Linked DNA regions of Arabidopsis thaliana. The protein of the gene in region 1 purifies or fractionates together with the protein of each later gene. This does not show direct contact. Each region holds a gene or a part of one and is shown on either strand. Other genes may lie near its edges.

The links. Proteins that work in one complex are often made in the same cells at the same time.
Region 2: the proteins of AT1G74270 (region 1) and AT1G15250 fractionate together in Arabidopsis thaliana (co-fractionation; one large-scale study listed by BioGRID). This does not show direct contact.

The regions. Positions count from the first base shown.
Region 1 is NC_003070.9:27,927,721-27,931,476, forward strand, and holds AT1G74270 (Ribosomal protein L35Ae family protein), read right to left. Parts: upstream 1,818-3,756; 5' UTR 1,747-1,817; coding exon 1,715-1,746; intron 1,486-1,714; coding exon 1,450-1,485; intron 1,060-1,449; coding exon 831-1,059; intron 737-830; coding exon 695-736; 3' UTR 451-694; downstream 1-450. Other genes in the region: PUR4 (purine biosynthesis 4), read right to left, coding at 3-44; AT1G74280 (alpha/beta-Hydrolases superfamily protein), read left to right, coding at 2,038-2,358, 2,609-3,406.
Region 2 is NC_003070.9:5,248,107-5,251,775, forward strand, and holds AT1G15250 (Zinc-binding ribosomal protein family protein), read right to left. Parts: upstream 1,571-3,669; 5' UTR 1,560-1,570; intron 1,458-1,559; 5' UTR 1,276-1,457; coding exon 1,273-1,275; intron 1,199-1,272; coding exon 1,063-1,198; intron 957-1,062; coding exon 855-956; intron 766-854; coding exon 719-765; 3' UTR 558-718; downstream 1-557. Other genes in the region: AT1G15240 (phox (PX) domain-containing protein), read left to right, coding at 1-95, 196-278, 361-498; AT1G15260 (LOW protein: ATP-dependent RNA helicase-like protein), read left to right, coding at 1,728-2,264; AT1G15270 (Translation machinery associated TMA7), read right to left, coding at 2,727-2,807, 3,344-3,385. UniProt on the Arabidopsis thaliana protein: Binds to the 23S rRNA.

The sequences.
Region 1 (3,756 bases):
ACGTTTAGAAACAGAGCCGCACGAGTTGCTTGGGAGGTATTCATCGTCGCGAGATATGACCGGAACAGCAAACAAAGTGAAAAGAGGGTTTAGGGTTTTTCTCTGTTACTGTCTTAACGGGACCGAAGCTCCGACTCCGAGAGTACGGCAGTCGACACAGAGTTCTTGTCTGGTCTCTCTTCTCAACGAATCTTAGGTTTGTTGGTACTTTTTTGTTTACATGAGAACAAAATTCTGATTGAAAATTCTAAAGTTGAGCCTAGGTAAGCCCAATAAAGGTCTAATGGGCCTAAGGGCCGATATCACAAATCGAGTTTCAAATGTTTCAGTTTACAACTTCAATCAGCTCTTGTTTTTTGATTATTTTGAGTGATTTTCGATTTTCAGACTTCAACAATTAACATATGCCATGGATGATTCTGAGAATTTAAGTGTTTCTAAGAACTAATTATAAAGTTGTAATAGTGATTTGAGAAAATATGTTACCATTCGTCTGTTTTAATTCGTTATAAAAGGGGAAAAGGGAGTCTAATTTGGGATGAAAAACCGGATCCATGATCAAAGTCAATTTAGAGAATCTCCAAACACTTCAAACAAAGAAAGGAAATGCTTTCAATATCAAAATACAAAATAACAAACTAGTGAACAAAACCAAGGCGGCTAAATTATAAGTTTAAGCCATTTTTGCATTGCTTCATATGTTACTCGGATACATGAAGACTCTCACTCTGCTTCCCTGCAAGAACATAAGGAATAATATCTTGTTAAAAACCCAAGCAAAAGATTTCACTTCTAAACAGAGAAGATGATTATAGAATCTGTTTAAGTACCATGGACTTGGGAGGAAGGTTGGATGTGAATTTGGCACGGACAACACCGCTGTTACCGTGAGGCCTGGTAACCTTTCCCCAGATACAGCGGTAGTGGCTACCGTTCTTCTTTGTCTTAGCCTTGTAGATGTAAGCCATCCTCTTTCCCTTGTACCAGTTTACCTCCTCCTGAGTGTTAACTCCTTCGATCTGGACGAGGGACGTGTTTGGATACTGGTTGGACTTCGACCTGCACACCATAGTAAATGTCAGACCAGAGGAAGTATCAAACAGTAAGGTCTCGGTTTTCAGCATGACAAGGTTATTAAAGCAGAACTCAGTTAACAACAGTGTTGATTAATAGAAATACAAAGCAGCTCAAAAATAAAATGCCAGATAAGTGTCCTAAGAAATGTAGACAACTAACTAATCAAGAGTCAAAATGTTCCCATTTAGTGAAAGCATCAGACACATAATCTGATCATAAGTGGACGAGAAGCTTGGTTATAGGACTCGTTTCTGTCAAATTGGCTTACATAAATACCAATCAACGTTCATTACATGGAATCTTATTGGCGTCCAATCATAAGCTATAAGCAGTGTAAAATGGAAAACGAAAGCGATGAAAGAAATGGGTCACCTTTTGTATCCGAGGATGGTTCCCCTCACGTAGAGTCTGCAAAATTAGATAACATAAAAAGAATCAGACTTTCGCATTATCGATGATTACAAGATTACTAAACCATGAAGAATCAGCTCAAATCTAGACAATAACAATAGTAGCAAAACAGTTTCAGAAGTGAGGAAAACAGAGCAAATCTCAAATGATACACCGATAGAAAACCATCTTGGTGATATAGATCAAACTTGAAGAAGAACGAAAAGAGAAATAGAAGAAGAAAGACCTGACTCGTTCTCCTTGGCGTCCCTTGACCATTTTCGATTCCGCCGAATATCCAAAGGCTGCTGCTGCTACTCGAGGGAGAAAAACGAAGAAGAAGCCCTAATATGGGCTTATGGGCCTTAACACTATTGGGGCATTAGTATATTAAGCATCTTGGGCCATTACTATAATGAATAACATATAAAAATGGGCTTCTCTATTTTTATCTCAAAACAACAACAAAAAAACGATCTCTATGTTGTAGTTCTTGAACAGTTGGCTCTCTTTTCAAGAATCGTCGCCGTTGACCTCCGTGCCTCTCCGATCAACTTCCCATTCTTTTAAATGACGAGAGATTCATCAAGGAACAGCTCATTAAAGCCATGGCCTCGAAAAAAATTTCTTTTTCCTTCTGTTGTGATTGTCATTGTTGGGATAATCGTGGCGTTTACTTATCAGTCCAAGTTGAAACCACCTCCGCCGAAGCTATGTGGCTCCTCCGGTGGTCCACCGATCACAGCGCCGCGGATAAAGCTTCAAGATGGGAGGTATTTGGCTTACAAAGAGCATGGACTTCCAAGAGAGAAAGCTAACCGCAAAATCGTCTTCATCCATGGATCCGATTGTTGTAGACACGATGCCGTTTTCGCCACTCTGCTTTCTCCGGTAAGTTTTACACAATCAAGATTATGCATGTCTATATGCTTCTATCGTTGATTTGATAGATAGTTGTTATGTAATAATACTTTGATCACTATGTTTTAATCATTTATTTAGTTAGTGGCATGTTAATTTGTAGCAAGTAGTGTTGTTAAAAATCCTTGTAGTATAGAGAAGTTTAGTGAGAAAGTTATTTGAGAGTGACGTTTTCGGTTTTTTATTGGGACCTCTAACAGTGTGTCAATACATTTTATAGGATTTAGTAGAGGAACTAGGTGTATATATGGTTTCATTCGACAGACCGGGCTATTGTGAGAGTGATCCGCATCCAAGTCGTACACCGCGAAGCTTGGTTTCGGATATTGAAGAGCTAGCTGATCAGTTGAGTCTAGGATCGAAATTTTATGTGCTCGGGTACTCGATGGGAGGACAAGCAGCATGGGGATGTCTTAAATACATTCCTCATAGGTTAGCCGGAGTAACACTAGTTGCTCCAGTGGTTAACTATTATTGGAAGAACTTACCTTTGAACGTTTCCACTGAAGGTTTTAACTTTCAACAAAAGAGAGATCAATTGGCAGTTCGTGTTGCTCACTATACTCCTTGGCTTATCTATTGGTGGAACACACAAAAATGGTTCCCTGGTTCGAGTATTGCAAACCGAGATCACAGTCTCTTGGCACAGCCGGATAAAGATATCATTTCGAAGCTTGGTTCTTCGAGGAAACCACATTGGGCAGAGGTAAGGCAGCAAGGAATACATGAGAGTATTAACCGTGACATGATCGTTGGTTTTGGGAACTGGGAATTTGGTCCTTTAGACCTCGAGAATCCGTTTTTGAATAAGGAAGGCTCTGTGCATTTGTGGCAAGGAGATGAGGACATGTTAGTACCTGCGAAGCTGCAGCGTTACCTTGCTCATCAGCTTCCATGGGTTCACTATCATGAGGTTCCGAGAAGTGGCCACTTCTTCCACTACACTAAAGGTGTAGTTGATGACATTGTAAAGTCGCTCTTAACCTCCGATGTAAGAGCATCTAGAGTTTGTATTTGATCATTTGTAGCTTCCAAAAACTCTGAAAAAAAATCCCAAAAAAATACACGGATACAATAGAGTTATGTACTAGTTACATTTGTCAGCATCGTAGTTTATTTTTATTTGGTTACACGTGTAATTTAATCGACCAAGCCTTCATCAATTGTCTTGTCAAGCTTATCATGTTCTTTAATTTGATCTTTTAGCAACATGTGTTTGGTCTTTTTGTTTTATATTCTATGTTAGTCTTTTAATTAAGAGAATGAAGAATTCATCTACTTGAGTGTCTACTAGATTTGCCTTAGTGTCTAATACATCATTAATTAAAGTTTTTGGTACAATCTAAACTAGGCCTAATCACATTATCT
Region 2 (3,669 bases), about 23 Mb from region 1:
GCATCCAAAAAGGCAGCAACAATCCAGCATTTCTGAAGAGGAGCAGAAACAAGAAGCAGAGAGACGAGCAAAGTTTGTTCATGAGCTGATGATCGGTAATGAGCGTCCTGTTATCTGATTTTTTTTTTTTGCATCAATGATTGCGAAGCTTAATTGAACTAACATAAATGTTTGAAATAAACCCTCAACTCACAGAAAAAGCCCCAGCTACTATAGTGAGTCTTATAGGACAAAAGGAGTATGAACAATGTGCAGAAGATCTTTACTTTTTCCTTCAGGTAAACATTCCACTTGATTTCAGGTTTGTGCGATGCTTACATGCATTTGATGATTTCATTGTTAAAATTATTCTTGTTTCAGTCATCAGTGTGTTTGAAGCAATTGGCGTTTGACATTTTGGAGTTGTTGCTACTATCAGCGTTTCCGGAAATGGAGCAAGCTTTCAAAAAATTGCACTACGAAAAACACCTCTTTGGTCAATATACACCACCGAACTGATACTTGGATTTTCATTGTAATCATCTTCCATATTACGTGGAGTTTTGCTAGAATTCTTTAAACAGTAATAGCACGGATGCATTTCATTGATGAGTGATCACACTATCAGAAATAGGATTGCACAGTAAAGGAAGTACAAGAGCAAAAAAGATAAACAAACGAATTAAAAAAAAAAGCTACATAGCAAGAAAGAGATGGCAAAACGCAAACTGAACAATGCCTAGGAAGACGAAGCTGCAGCTTTGTTTCTTGGGGTGGCTTGCGTACCTGATTCACAGAATTCCATCGATCAGATTGAGCAAGTCTTAGATTATATCAAATATTTAAGTGAAGCAAAGGGTGCAATGTAGCTTTACCTTCTCTAAAGCAAGTCTTGAACCTTCGAGGGACATTACGGAGATACCTCATCCTACCAGTTCCTGTTGTCTTTCTTCTTATTGCCTTCACACTCCAGTTATCTGCACACAAAATCATAAATTCCAGGACTCTTTCATATATCTCCAATTCTCCATGATCAGACCCAAAATTCCAAGACAGAGACAGAAATAGAGAGAGAGTACATACATGTCCTCTTTCTGGCAGCTGGATAAGCACATGCCGAGCAACGACTCTTCTGGATGTGAAAGCTCCGGCGACCACATCTCACACAGAGCGTGTGTGACTTGTTCCTCCTCTTACCAAAGCTCCCTGTTCCTTTACCCTGTCATTTCCAAAGCACCGGTTACACATAAGTCACACATGAGCTTACATGGAAAAAAAATGCCAATAGATTACCATTGCCGCAGATGCAGGGGATGATCAAAGTTTGCTCTACAGAAATCTTTGCGGCTCCGAGAAGACGACTGTGTAGCGTCCTTTAGGGTTTTTCCTACCCAAAATGGATCTTCATTGGTTACCGCCAAAAATATGGGCTTCTTAATGGGCTTCATGGGCCTGGTTCTGATATTACCTCGAGTCAACTGGCATACAGTATATATAATATGAGTAGTGAGTGGTGGTGGCAATGATAAGTAGGGGACCAATTTTGAACACTGCTTATCAATGTGATGACGATTGCTTACCTATAAAAGTGGACAACACAATCAACAAGATGACACCTTCTTAAAGTCTGACACTATCAGCTTGCTTCTTCAACTACTACATGCCACTAAATCAATGTTAGGTTTCCTTTTGAGATCCCTAGTGACATAAATATGGTTATCTTCTCAAAAAAATGAGCAGCAAGAAAGATGATGAAACCTACATCAAAATCAATTCAGAGAGTTGGTCGTTTCTTAAAGAAGACTCTTGGGAGCATCAAGTCCACTATCTGCTCTAGTGATTACAAAAACTTACCTAACGACACTCCTCTCTTGAGCCCTTACTCCTGCAGCCGCCGCTGTCCAGAAGATTCCCAAACCCAAACCAAAGAAAGCTACACCGTTATCTGTTGTGACACGGCTGTGGCAGATACAACACACCAGAAGAGTCTCAACAACCAACATAAAAAGAAACCGAAGAAAGTCGCTGAGCCATTCGAGGATGCAAAGAAAAGAGGTGACGCGTTGGCGCAAAAGATGAAAGATCTCAATATGGTGGATCTGAGAGACGTGGATCACGCATTGGATGTAAGGGAAGCGCTTCGATGCTATTCAAGCATCAGAAGTCCTGTGTATCTTGACATTGTTGACAATTTCTTCACAGACATGTATTACGAGTTCTCTGATCCTCGTACCTCTGCTAAGATCAACGGTTCAAGGAGAAAGGCAGGCTCCTTCAGGCTTTAAAGTTCCTCTGGATCAGCTTTGCTTTCACGGGCTATCTGTAGTTCTTTCATCTATAGAGTATGCACTTCTTAAGAACAGTGTTAACCATTACACACACCGCTTTGGTAAAATCACCTGTCACCACCCTCAGTTTCTACCTCATCTTGTAGAGTCAAGTTACGCTCCTATTCTCAACTACTATCAATGCAACATATTTTCCACTTCAAGTTATGACAACTTACAGTTTATAATACTATATCTGAAGATAGAGATGTGACACCCTACTACTCGATTCTTGACAAAATGATTTTAGGGTAGATACCACTTTTCTTTTTCATGAAAAAATGGAGAAAGCAAACATATGTATGGAGAAGCGAAGTTACTCTTCTCGAATTATGATAAAAAGTTACATCAACACAGGATTATCTGTTTTTTTCACTTGATAAATTTGCATTTTAAAACACACTTCATGGATAAAACGGATCATTTCTTGCCACTCTTCTTAAGTCCAGAACCTCCAAAGGATCCCTTCTGCGATGCCTTGGCTCTAAGCTCTTTAAGGGCCTGTTTTATCATTTTCATTCAAAACAAAACAGGTCAGGCTTTCGGTAACAAATGATCACTGTACTTCTCATGCGAAAGAAAGGCTAATGAGTCTTTCACACAATTGGGTGGAAAAAAAGTAGACTAAACATCCTAACATGGGCAAATGGTCACTATTTCATCAAAGTAAGAAGAAACTAGTCCATATCATCTCAAAAGAATCTGTAATGAATACCCCTAAACTAACAAATAATTAATAGAAATGACCCATCTAGTTGTAGTCACCAGCTATAAAGTCATAATTAGAGTCAGCTTGATTAGTAGACCAAACTGACAAAGTGGAACATATTAATGCACAACCTTTACAAAACCTTTACAAACCTATGTATCTAAACAGAAGCTCTCTTGTGAAGATACAATCTTTGATTCGTATTTTATAGCTTTCCATTGAAAGAGGAGCCCAAACATATAAGTTTAACTAGATGCATTTTTCCAATCACAAAACTTCATATGAACAAAAAGAGAAAACAAGTCAGAGCATCAAAGTGGGAACTCACCTTTTCCTCATCTTTCTTCTTCTGAATGTTAGCTAAGTCAGTCTGCATTGATACCAAATCAACATTTCAGCAATTAGAGAATGTCTAAGAGTCATTAATACACAAATAGTATGCAAACAAAATCAAGTGAAGAAGTCAAGACTGTGCCCTTAAAAACACTGGATCAAAATTCGAACTTGCGTATAAATCATTGAATCCGAGCAAAATTAATGATTTATGAGTCACTGAATGTTAACAAATTTTAAGAATTCAAGTTAGTTGGACAATCAAAACCAGATCCAGAGCAAAAGCATCGTTTGATTCGAGGTCTAAAGCTAACAATATAA